Nothobranchius furzeri: one gene and its partner. The protein of the gene in region 2 purifies or fractionates together with the protein of the main gene of each other region. This does not show direct contact. Links are inferred from orthologs where the notes say so. Each region holds a gene or a part of one and is shown on either strand. Other genes may lie near its edges. The genes, in order: erlin2; inositol 1,4,5-trisphosphate-gated calcium channel ITPR1.

Region 1 (3,817 bases), on a different chromosome or scaffold from region 2:
ATTAATCCAGGTCTAGGAGCTGCTCACCAACAATATCTAGGGCTGCAGAAGTCTTAATGGAGCTCCCTGCAGAGCCAGAGTCCACAAACATTTGAGGAATGTCATTCCCAAAATAGATCTTGCTGTTAGCAGCAATGGCCTTGTACTTCATCAGCTGCAGGTACTCTGGAGTTAATTTCAGCTGGAAGAGAAAGAAGAGATGATAAAACAGGGTTGTGACACCAGAGGGAGCTGCAGGCGTTGCCCTCTACCTTGTTGGCCTCGGCGGCTCTCTGAGACGTGTAGAACTCTGCATCTGCCTTAGCTTTCTGTCGGGCCAGGAACGCGTCGTCTGTAGATCACAAACAAACATCAGTGGCTTCATTTCACAGCCAGAAGCTCCCCTTCACATCACAAGTCTGTCAGGTGTGTATGTTTGCTGCCTCCTTGGTAACCACAAGTGGAGGACAGCCGGGTGGAACAAACGGGTGGAGCTGATAACGGCACCGGGGACCTCGTCGGTGAGGCTCCTTCACAGGGTCCAAATCAGCTGTTAGTCTCATGAAGCAGGAAACAAAGCATCCACGTCTGAGAACAACACAAACCTGGATGTAGAAGAAGTGTCAGCAGAGACTCGTTAAGAGACCTTATCGGAGATCATTAAAGTAACGCTAAATGTTTTTTTTTTTACTTTAAGCTAGAGCTTTAAAGTTGATATCAGTGAGTTGAAAACTTGATCAGTGTTTATTTGACAGCCCTCTGCTGACAATAAAACAGGACTTGACAGTTTTGTGGAGCAGGTAGGTGCCCTAGGGTGTGCTCTTTACCTGCGTAAGGGCTGTTAGCTAGTTTCCGTGCCAGTAGCTAACCAAAGGCTAGCAGTTAGCCTCTTCAGTTTGTCGACTGTCAATAAAAAACAATAGGATGCATTGAACTATCCATGTTTCACCCTGTACCATGAGAGCGGGGGGGGGGGGGGGGGGGGGGGTTGTTGATTCTTCTGCATGAGATATTGTTGAAGTCCCATTAGTTGTCACACACCCTGATGGTTGTGCAAAATTTGCTTTCTGCATTTGACCCCTCCCCGGGAGGAAATGGTGAGTTGCAGCTGTGGCCGCGCTCGGAACCATTTATTGGTTTAACCCCCCAATCCAACCTATTAATGCCGAGTGTCAAGCGGAGAGTCTTTGGTACGACCTGACCAGGATTTGAACCCCAGACTCAGGGCAGACACTCGTACTCTCACGCTCAATGTGTGACAGTTGGCAGCCCTGCATTCACCCATTCACACGCTGGTGATGATGAGCTACGATGCAGCCACAGCTGCCCTGGGGCACACTGACAGAGGCGAGGCCTGCCGAACACTGGGGTCACCAGTCCCTCCGACCACCACCAGCAGGCAAGGCGGGTTACATGTCTTGCCCAAGGACACAACAGCAATATTCTCTGATCAGAGCCGGGGTCGGACCTGCAACCTTCTGATTACTGGACAACCCGCTCAACCTCCTGAGCAACTGAAAAAAACGTTTTCTTTGTTGTTGGCATCATGGCGGCGCCAGGAAGTAAGAGCCAGAGAATTATGTCTTTGAGCGTGAAGCAGAGATAAAACCAGAGTCGAAATCCGCACAGCCTACGATCATCTGAGGAAGCTAAAGGACGATATGAAATCACGGACTGATGGAGACTAGGGTTGTGAATGATAAACCGATGCCACCGGATATTCGGTTCAACAAGTGAGAGATACGGCTGCATCAGTAGTAGCCTCCTCAGCCGATAGAAATCAGCCGTGAATTCCTAGATGGTTGCAGAATCATGGATCGGGTATCGCACGACTTTGAATCTCCAACGCTCCGCCTGTGAGAGTAAAGCCTTATTTATACCTCTCTGTCTGCATGGGTGTGGAGACACACAAGGCCTTTATGCGTTGGTGCAAGGGCTCTCCGATGGGCTCCCAGTGGTTGAGAGAGACACGCCAACTTTTTAACTACCCTTCAAAAGTGGCAGAGATGGTGATTGGTCAGGACGCCGCTTCCTTAAACTATCACCAGCAGCACCATTGCCCCCTCAAAAAAGTAAAACGAGAACCTAAGATATATAGTGGCAAAAGAAGAAAATTGAACGACACCTTGCAGAAAAAAAAATGAAAATAAGAATGTTAATTCAACCGTGACTGAAGGAGTACAATGATACTCAGCCAGCGTTTTATTCGTGGACGGAAATGACGAGAAACGTGGGCTCAGAGATGACGACTGCATGAAGAGGTGGAAGAGAATGTAGGACAAATTCATCTGTGTTATAAAGTGTCTGAAATACAAAAACAGTAAACACACTATGTTGGACCAGATACCCCAGAAAGGTATTACGCCCCCTGCTGTCCTGGTGGGGAATTGCTTTGCAACACTATCCAGGAGATGGGAGGTCTTAAGGAAAAACATCTCCGTCAAGGTGTGTGCACAACGACACACTCTGATGGAGAGATATGAACCAGCCCTAAGGCTTCTGTTGGCGCTCAGACATAAATTCAGATTGCTTTACAGCAGGACGGGGTAGGGTGGGGGAGTAAAACTCGGTCACGTCTCCTCCATCAACGACACAAACCTTCAATCTCTGAGATCTTCTTTTCGGTTTCCTTCTCCATGACTTTCTGCCCAAACTTGATTTCTGCTACCTGAGCCACTTTTTCAGCCTCTACAAGACAAACAACACACACACGCACACACACACACGCGCTCTTCAGCCTGAGGAGTGTAGGACACAGTCAGCTGGTCCTGATGGTCTATGTGCTTCACCTATCACAGCTTTGATCCTCTCCGTCTCGGCTTCCTTCTCCACAACCTTCTGAGTCTGCTGGGAGATCAGCAGCTTTGTTTTCTCACTCTCCCTGCCAACACACATAGCAGAGGTTATGATTCATGGAGGTTTGGATCCATTATTATTTACAAAGCCTTAGCGCTCCAGCCTCTGAGACCTGTACCGTCATGGAGATATTAATATAAAATCTGGGATTTTACCATTGGACTCTGATTCTAAGGGAAACTACTGAGAAGACTTCCTCTCTCTCTGATCCTATAAATTCACACAGCTGGTATGAAAGTAAGTAATTAATCCAGACCTGAAAGCTGCCAGGGCGTAAATCCTCAGATGTGTGTGTGGAATCTGATCTTTGTTGAAATAACTTTTTACAGGGAGTAGATTCAGCAACGATACCGTCAGGGTGAGGTCAAACCAAACCCAGCAAATCTGCACGTGTAGATAAACCTTTCATAACTTTATAAACAGGCTTAGTCTATGAAACACCAGCTCATCAGTAGCTGTTCTCTAGTATTCGACCAAAACAGGAAAACAACCGTTTCCGCTGGAAAACCAACACACAGGTTTAATTAATGTTGTCTTTAATAATCAGCCACTGGGATGGTGTACGGCCGACCACATCCCTGTTTATGAGATTCTAAATCCCACTGACCAAACAACGACTTTCCTCTGATGAGTTTTATCTGGCAACAACCGCAGCAATGGGAAATCACCCAGATTATCGTGTTACCTTTAGAAGGACCAGGAAATAAATGGTGAGGGAGACCTCTGACCATCACGTTGATCCCTAGTCTGAACTTCAGAGTGTTTTCACGAGAACAAACCAAAGATGACTGTAACAGACGCCGTCTGTTTTGTGGCCACTAGGTGCCCTCAGCGTCCCTGCCTGCTCTCCTGGCTCTAGCTGAGCCAGGTGGAATTGATTTCAGTCAGTGAGGCTCCCTGTTAAAAGGGAGCGTCAGATGATACAGAGGAGGGAAGTTCAGAAGAGAACAAGCAGAAGTGTTTGCTCTCCTCTTTCCCTCCT
Region 2 (4,487 bases):
GCAGCGGAGTTGGTTTTATGTGAGGAGTGGGTGGCTTCTGGCCAGAATCCTCATGACAATTTTTGTAAATATGTGTGTGTGTGTGTGTGTGTGTGTGTGTGTGTGTGTGTGTGTGTGTGTGTGTGTGTGTGTGTGTGTGTGTGTGTGTGTGTGTGTGTGTGTGTGTGTTTTCATGACTACGTGGGAAGTGTTTGGACTGAAGAAAGGCCACAATATCTTTATAATGACTCAGTGTTTTGTGGGGGTCATTTCGGTTTTTATGAGCCAGCAGGCGGGAGGTCCAGGATGCTGAAACGAGGGCCCTGATTCTGTTACCAGACAAACTGAACAGTTCACCTGGTATGATTACTCTGCAGTTTACACCAAGGCAATCTCACACTCCTTTCTTATGAGCTGGTTTACATCTAAAACACAGGAGGAGGGGGAGGGGCACCAAGTTTAATGAAATCCCAGAGCTGATTTGTTGAGCGTGTGCTGCTGACTATGAGCCCAAGCACAAAGCAACCAACTTTTTATTAATAAGGAAATAAAATAAAAATATATTTCCTGTTTGTCACAGGATGGAACCGTTAATCTTGTGTATCGTTTAATAACGCTGCATTTTTGTTTGGTTGTTTCAAAATGTGCTTGAGTTGCATTGTGGGAAGAACAATAGAAGCAAAAAAACTACAAAGATCAGTTACATTATTCAGCAGGACAAGATCAAAAGAACATTTTAAACACTGTGATGCAAACTGTAAAAAAAATAACTCTTTTGAGAGAATTGAAAACTTAGATTTATTTACTCGTTGTTACTGTTTGTCAAATTTAGACCTGACTGGGCGGTGACTGTAGGAGACAAATGGAGAGCAGGATTCACGAGGGAGTCTCCAAAACCTCATTTTCCTCTTGTGTCCAAGGAATTTTAAACATGTTTAAAAAAAATGCTCATTTTCTCTAACAATAGAATTCGTATGAACACTTCCAGTTCATCTCAATCAAACTGACCTCTAGTTTCTGTGAGTCACGTCAGAAGGTGTGAGAAAAGTGAGACGGCTTAGGAGGGGAGGCAAAATTGTGAATGAAATGAGAACAAATGTAAACAAACTGAAACATTATGGAGACATTTTATGACTAAAAAGTTAAAAAAAAAAAACGTCATAATAACATGATATGTTCCAAGAGACCATGTCATAATTCTAATCAGTGTGATTCCAACAGAAAATGTGCATATTTTTTCACATTTTTGTGTCTTTGTCGGAGGTCACTGTGGTGGTGCTGCAGATAGCCCTGTTGCCCTGCAGAAACATGGTTCAAATCCAGGCTGCAGCACTTTTGAAAGGAGTTAGCAAGTTATCCCCGATGCATGTGTGTGCTTTCTCTGGGGACTTGTTTCCTCCCACATACCAAATAGATGTGTGTTTGCTTAAATGGGAACCCTAGATTGTCCCTTGGTGTGTGTGTGTCAATGGAGGTTTGTCTCTGTGTGTCCCTATGATGGACCTGTCTTACGGATTGTTAAGAAAATCAGTGAGTGAGTGTAACTATCCAACAGCTTTAGCCTAATAAGATCCAGACTTTAGCGACCAGCAGATATTTGCTTATATTTAGTGTTTTGAATGCTAACTGGATCGGATGGGAAACACAACCCAGTACTGCTGGGAATTGGTAAATTCAATACTGCACACAAATTTACCTCACTCAAGCCACGTCTTAGCCCCTAACTGTGCAATTATTGCCCGTTCGTTTTATTTTCTCCAGGATTACGAGCCAATTCAAAATCCAAAGTGCTTTCTGCAGGATGAACCATACAGTTCCAGCTGTTTGATGATCTTTGCAGCATAACACTATTCTGTAACTGTCAAGCACCAGCCGCTTTCATCACACACACACGCGCGCGCGCGCACACACACACACACCAATTAATCAGATGCATTTCTCACTGCATGTATTCAGACTGTGTAACATACCCCAAAGTGTTGATGAAGCCACTGGTGGACCCCTCTGCATACAAGGAGCAGATGTCCCCGATGTGTAAGAAGCTGGACATCTTATCCGACATGTTTGGCACAAACTAGGAAGCACCTACACACAGGAGTAGAGAAGGTAAACTTGACACATTTTGGATTTATAAGACAATTACACAGTTCTAAATAACTCAAAATGTTGCAGAAATGTTGTAGTAAACACTGTAACATCACATTGTGTTACCCAATCCTCGTCGTTCATTTGTTTATGACCCATTTACAGTTCACAGGCTGGACGGACGCTGACAGGACGCGCGGATTTGCATAAAAGCGGCTGGGAATGGAAATGCTCTGCTGATATGTTGTTACCAGGAAGGTTCCTGCACCTGCAGCAGCAGCTCATCACCCCTGCAGCTGACTTGTTGGAGCCAACAGTTACACTTTTGTTCACCTCTATCGCCCCGAGCTTCTTACAAACTGCTGGTGAATCTAAAACTTTACCAAATTAAAAAAAATAATAATTTTAATAATAACAATTCAAAGTTCGGTAAAGAATTGGCAGCTGCTTCAATGAGAACACGAGGAGCGCCGTGACGGTTTACCGAAGCATCAAACATCTTAAAACTTCACTTTTTTAAATCCGTTATTCGGAACCACATTGTCCAAGTTCTTGCTCGTCTTTAAGGCTTACCCGAGAGCATTATAAACGCCCTGGTGTTCAGCTGTGAGCGTCTTCAGACCCATGTAGGGAGATGTAAATATTTTTTTTCTCGGAGATGAGAGAGTCGGAAGAAAGAGAAAGGATGACAGCGGCAGAGTTCGGGATCAACTTTACCTCGGCTGTTGTACCGCTCAGATCAAATACTCGGCTTTCTCCGGACCTTTGGAAAAAACATGACGGTGGTGGTGGTCTCCTCACCGGGTCGAGGGTGAGATTTAGCTGTCGACGGTTGAAATAATCCAGTTTTTGACAGCTTTCCGCGGATGCGTTCACTGAAGCGGGCAGGCAGGCACTGGCTGGTGGAGCTACCTGGCTCGCGGCCAGCTCGTCTTCTTTTTTCTTCTTCTGTGGTATCTGCCGCGTTGGTAGCTGGGAAATGTTGTCCGTGTGTTCTAAACTTAATCTGTACTGAGTTATCACTCTCTTTATGTCTATTTAATCCTCGAAAACGAATACAAATATATACACTTAAGAAAAAGCTTTATTTCCATGCGAATGAAAACACTTTTAAACTTATTTTGTGAAGTAAAATACAATTTTTGGTCTTTTTTGTCATTTAGATTCAAAAAGAATTATCAATATACTTCAAAGCCCTTCAAACGATTACTTTTACTTTTAATGATAAACAACGACAATGTATTTTTTTCTCAGGCAAGAAAGCGTTAACCTCGTTCAGCCAGCTGACTAGTCACGTGACTTTGCGGAAGTCTTACAATAACATGGGTGAATCCTGAGAAGTGGGGGGTTAAGAATGGTGCGGCATTACCCTTTGTTTTTAGTTTTAGTATTTGTGAATGAAGTATTTTGTCTCCAGAGTTCATGCCGGGGGGAGCAGGACTCTCTCCCCGTGGAGGGAGCAGGGGGATGCGGCTGTGGAAAGCTGAAGAGAGCCGCTGATGAGAGCGGGACAGCGACCAAAGACCCAGCCGACAAATACTCCGCAGAGGCGAACGAGAGGACATCCGGGGCCAGTGAAGATGGGAATAAAGTACAAAGTCAGGTATGATGTGGATCCTGTTAAAGAAGAACGTGAACCCTAACAATACCAGATGAGTGAAACTGCCTTCTTTCCAAGCATATTACTCATTAGTAAGAGCTAATTTATGGCTTTACAATAATTCAGTTCATTTAGAGCTCATTTTGTAACCGTTTTGATTTGTCGCAGTTATGAAGGTAAGTAAAGTTTCTGTCTTTGTATAACCAGACAAAGTAATCAGCTTTAACTTTTTATTCGCACAATTTTCAAGTAAAACTTTTGTTTTAATTACTTTTAATGAACTGCATCTAGTATCTTAGGCAGCATTTTATACTTCTTTTCAAAACAGGGTTATATTTATTTCACCTGATTTCCAGTTTTTCGTAGTAATATGTTTGTTCTGGTCTGGATTCTCCGTGGTGCCTCTTCACAATTGAAATGATCTGATTTTAGTTACAAAAAAATGTTTGATTAGGATCATTTTCACAGTCTGAATGAAATGTAGGTTTATTTTTGGGTTACAGATGGTGTTGATACCTGGAGGAGAGTTTCTGATGGGAACTGACAACCCAGGAATCCCTGCAGATGGCGAGGGGCCTCAGAGATCGGTGCACGTTGACCCCTTCTACATGGATGTCCAGGAAGTAACAAACCAGCAGTTCCAGAGCTTTGTTGGTGCCACTGGATATGTCACAGAGGTAGCAGGTCTATTAAACAGGAAGTTCTTATTTTGGATATATTTTTATCATCTCTGCTAATAACATACTTTTCCTCCTGGTTGTAGGCAGAAAAATTCAGAGACTCATTTGTGTTTGAGGGAATTTTGAGCGACTCTGTCAAAAAT

What was found.
Region 1: the proteins of inositol 1,4,5-trisphosphate-gated calcium channel ITPR1 (region 2) and erlin2 purify together in Homo sapiens (affinity purification with western blotting, with the first as the bait; 4 studies listed by BioGRID). This does not show direct contact. The link is inferred for Nothobranchius furzeri from reciprocal best matches to the Homo sapiens genes ITPR1 and ERLIN2.

The regions. Positions count from the first base shown.
Region 1 is NC_091757.1:29,233,140-29,236,956, forward strand, and holds part of erlin2 (erlin-2), read right to left. Parts: intron 2,861-3,817; coding exon 2,769-2,860; intron 2,668-2,768; coding exon 2,578-2,667; intron 332-2,577; coding exon 252-331; intron 182-251; coding exon 2-181; 3' UTR 1-1. UniProt on the Homo sapiens protein: Component of the ERLIN1/ERLIN2 complex which mediates the endoplasmic reticulum-associated degradation (ERAD) of inositol 1,4,5-trisphosphate receptors (IP3Rs) such as ITPR1.
Region 2 is NC_091743.1:49,796,064-49,800,550, reverse strand, and holds the start of inositol 1,4,5-trisphosphate-gated calcium channel ITPR1, read right to left. Parts: upstream 2,971-4,487; 5' UTR 2,782-2,970; intron 2,065-2,781; 5' UTR 2,042-2,064; coding exon 1,950-2,041; intron 1-1,949. Other genes in the region: sumf1 (formylglycine-generating enzyme), read left to right, coding at 3,419-3,667, 4,168-4,341, 4,428-4,487. UniProt on the Homo sapiens protein: Inositol 1,4,5-trisphosphate-gated calcium channel that, upon inositol 1,4,5-trisphosphate binding, mediates calcium release from the endoplasmic reticulum (ER).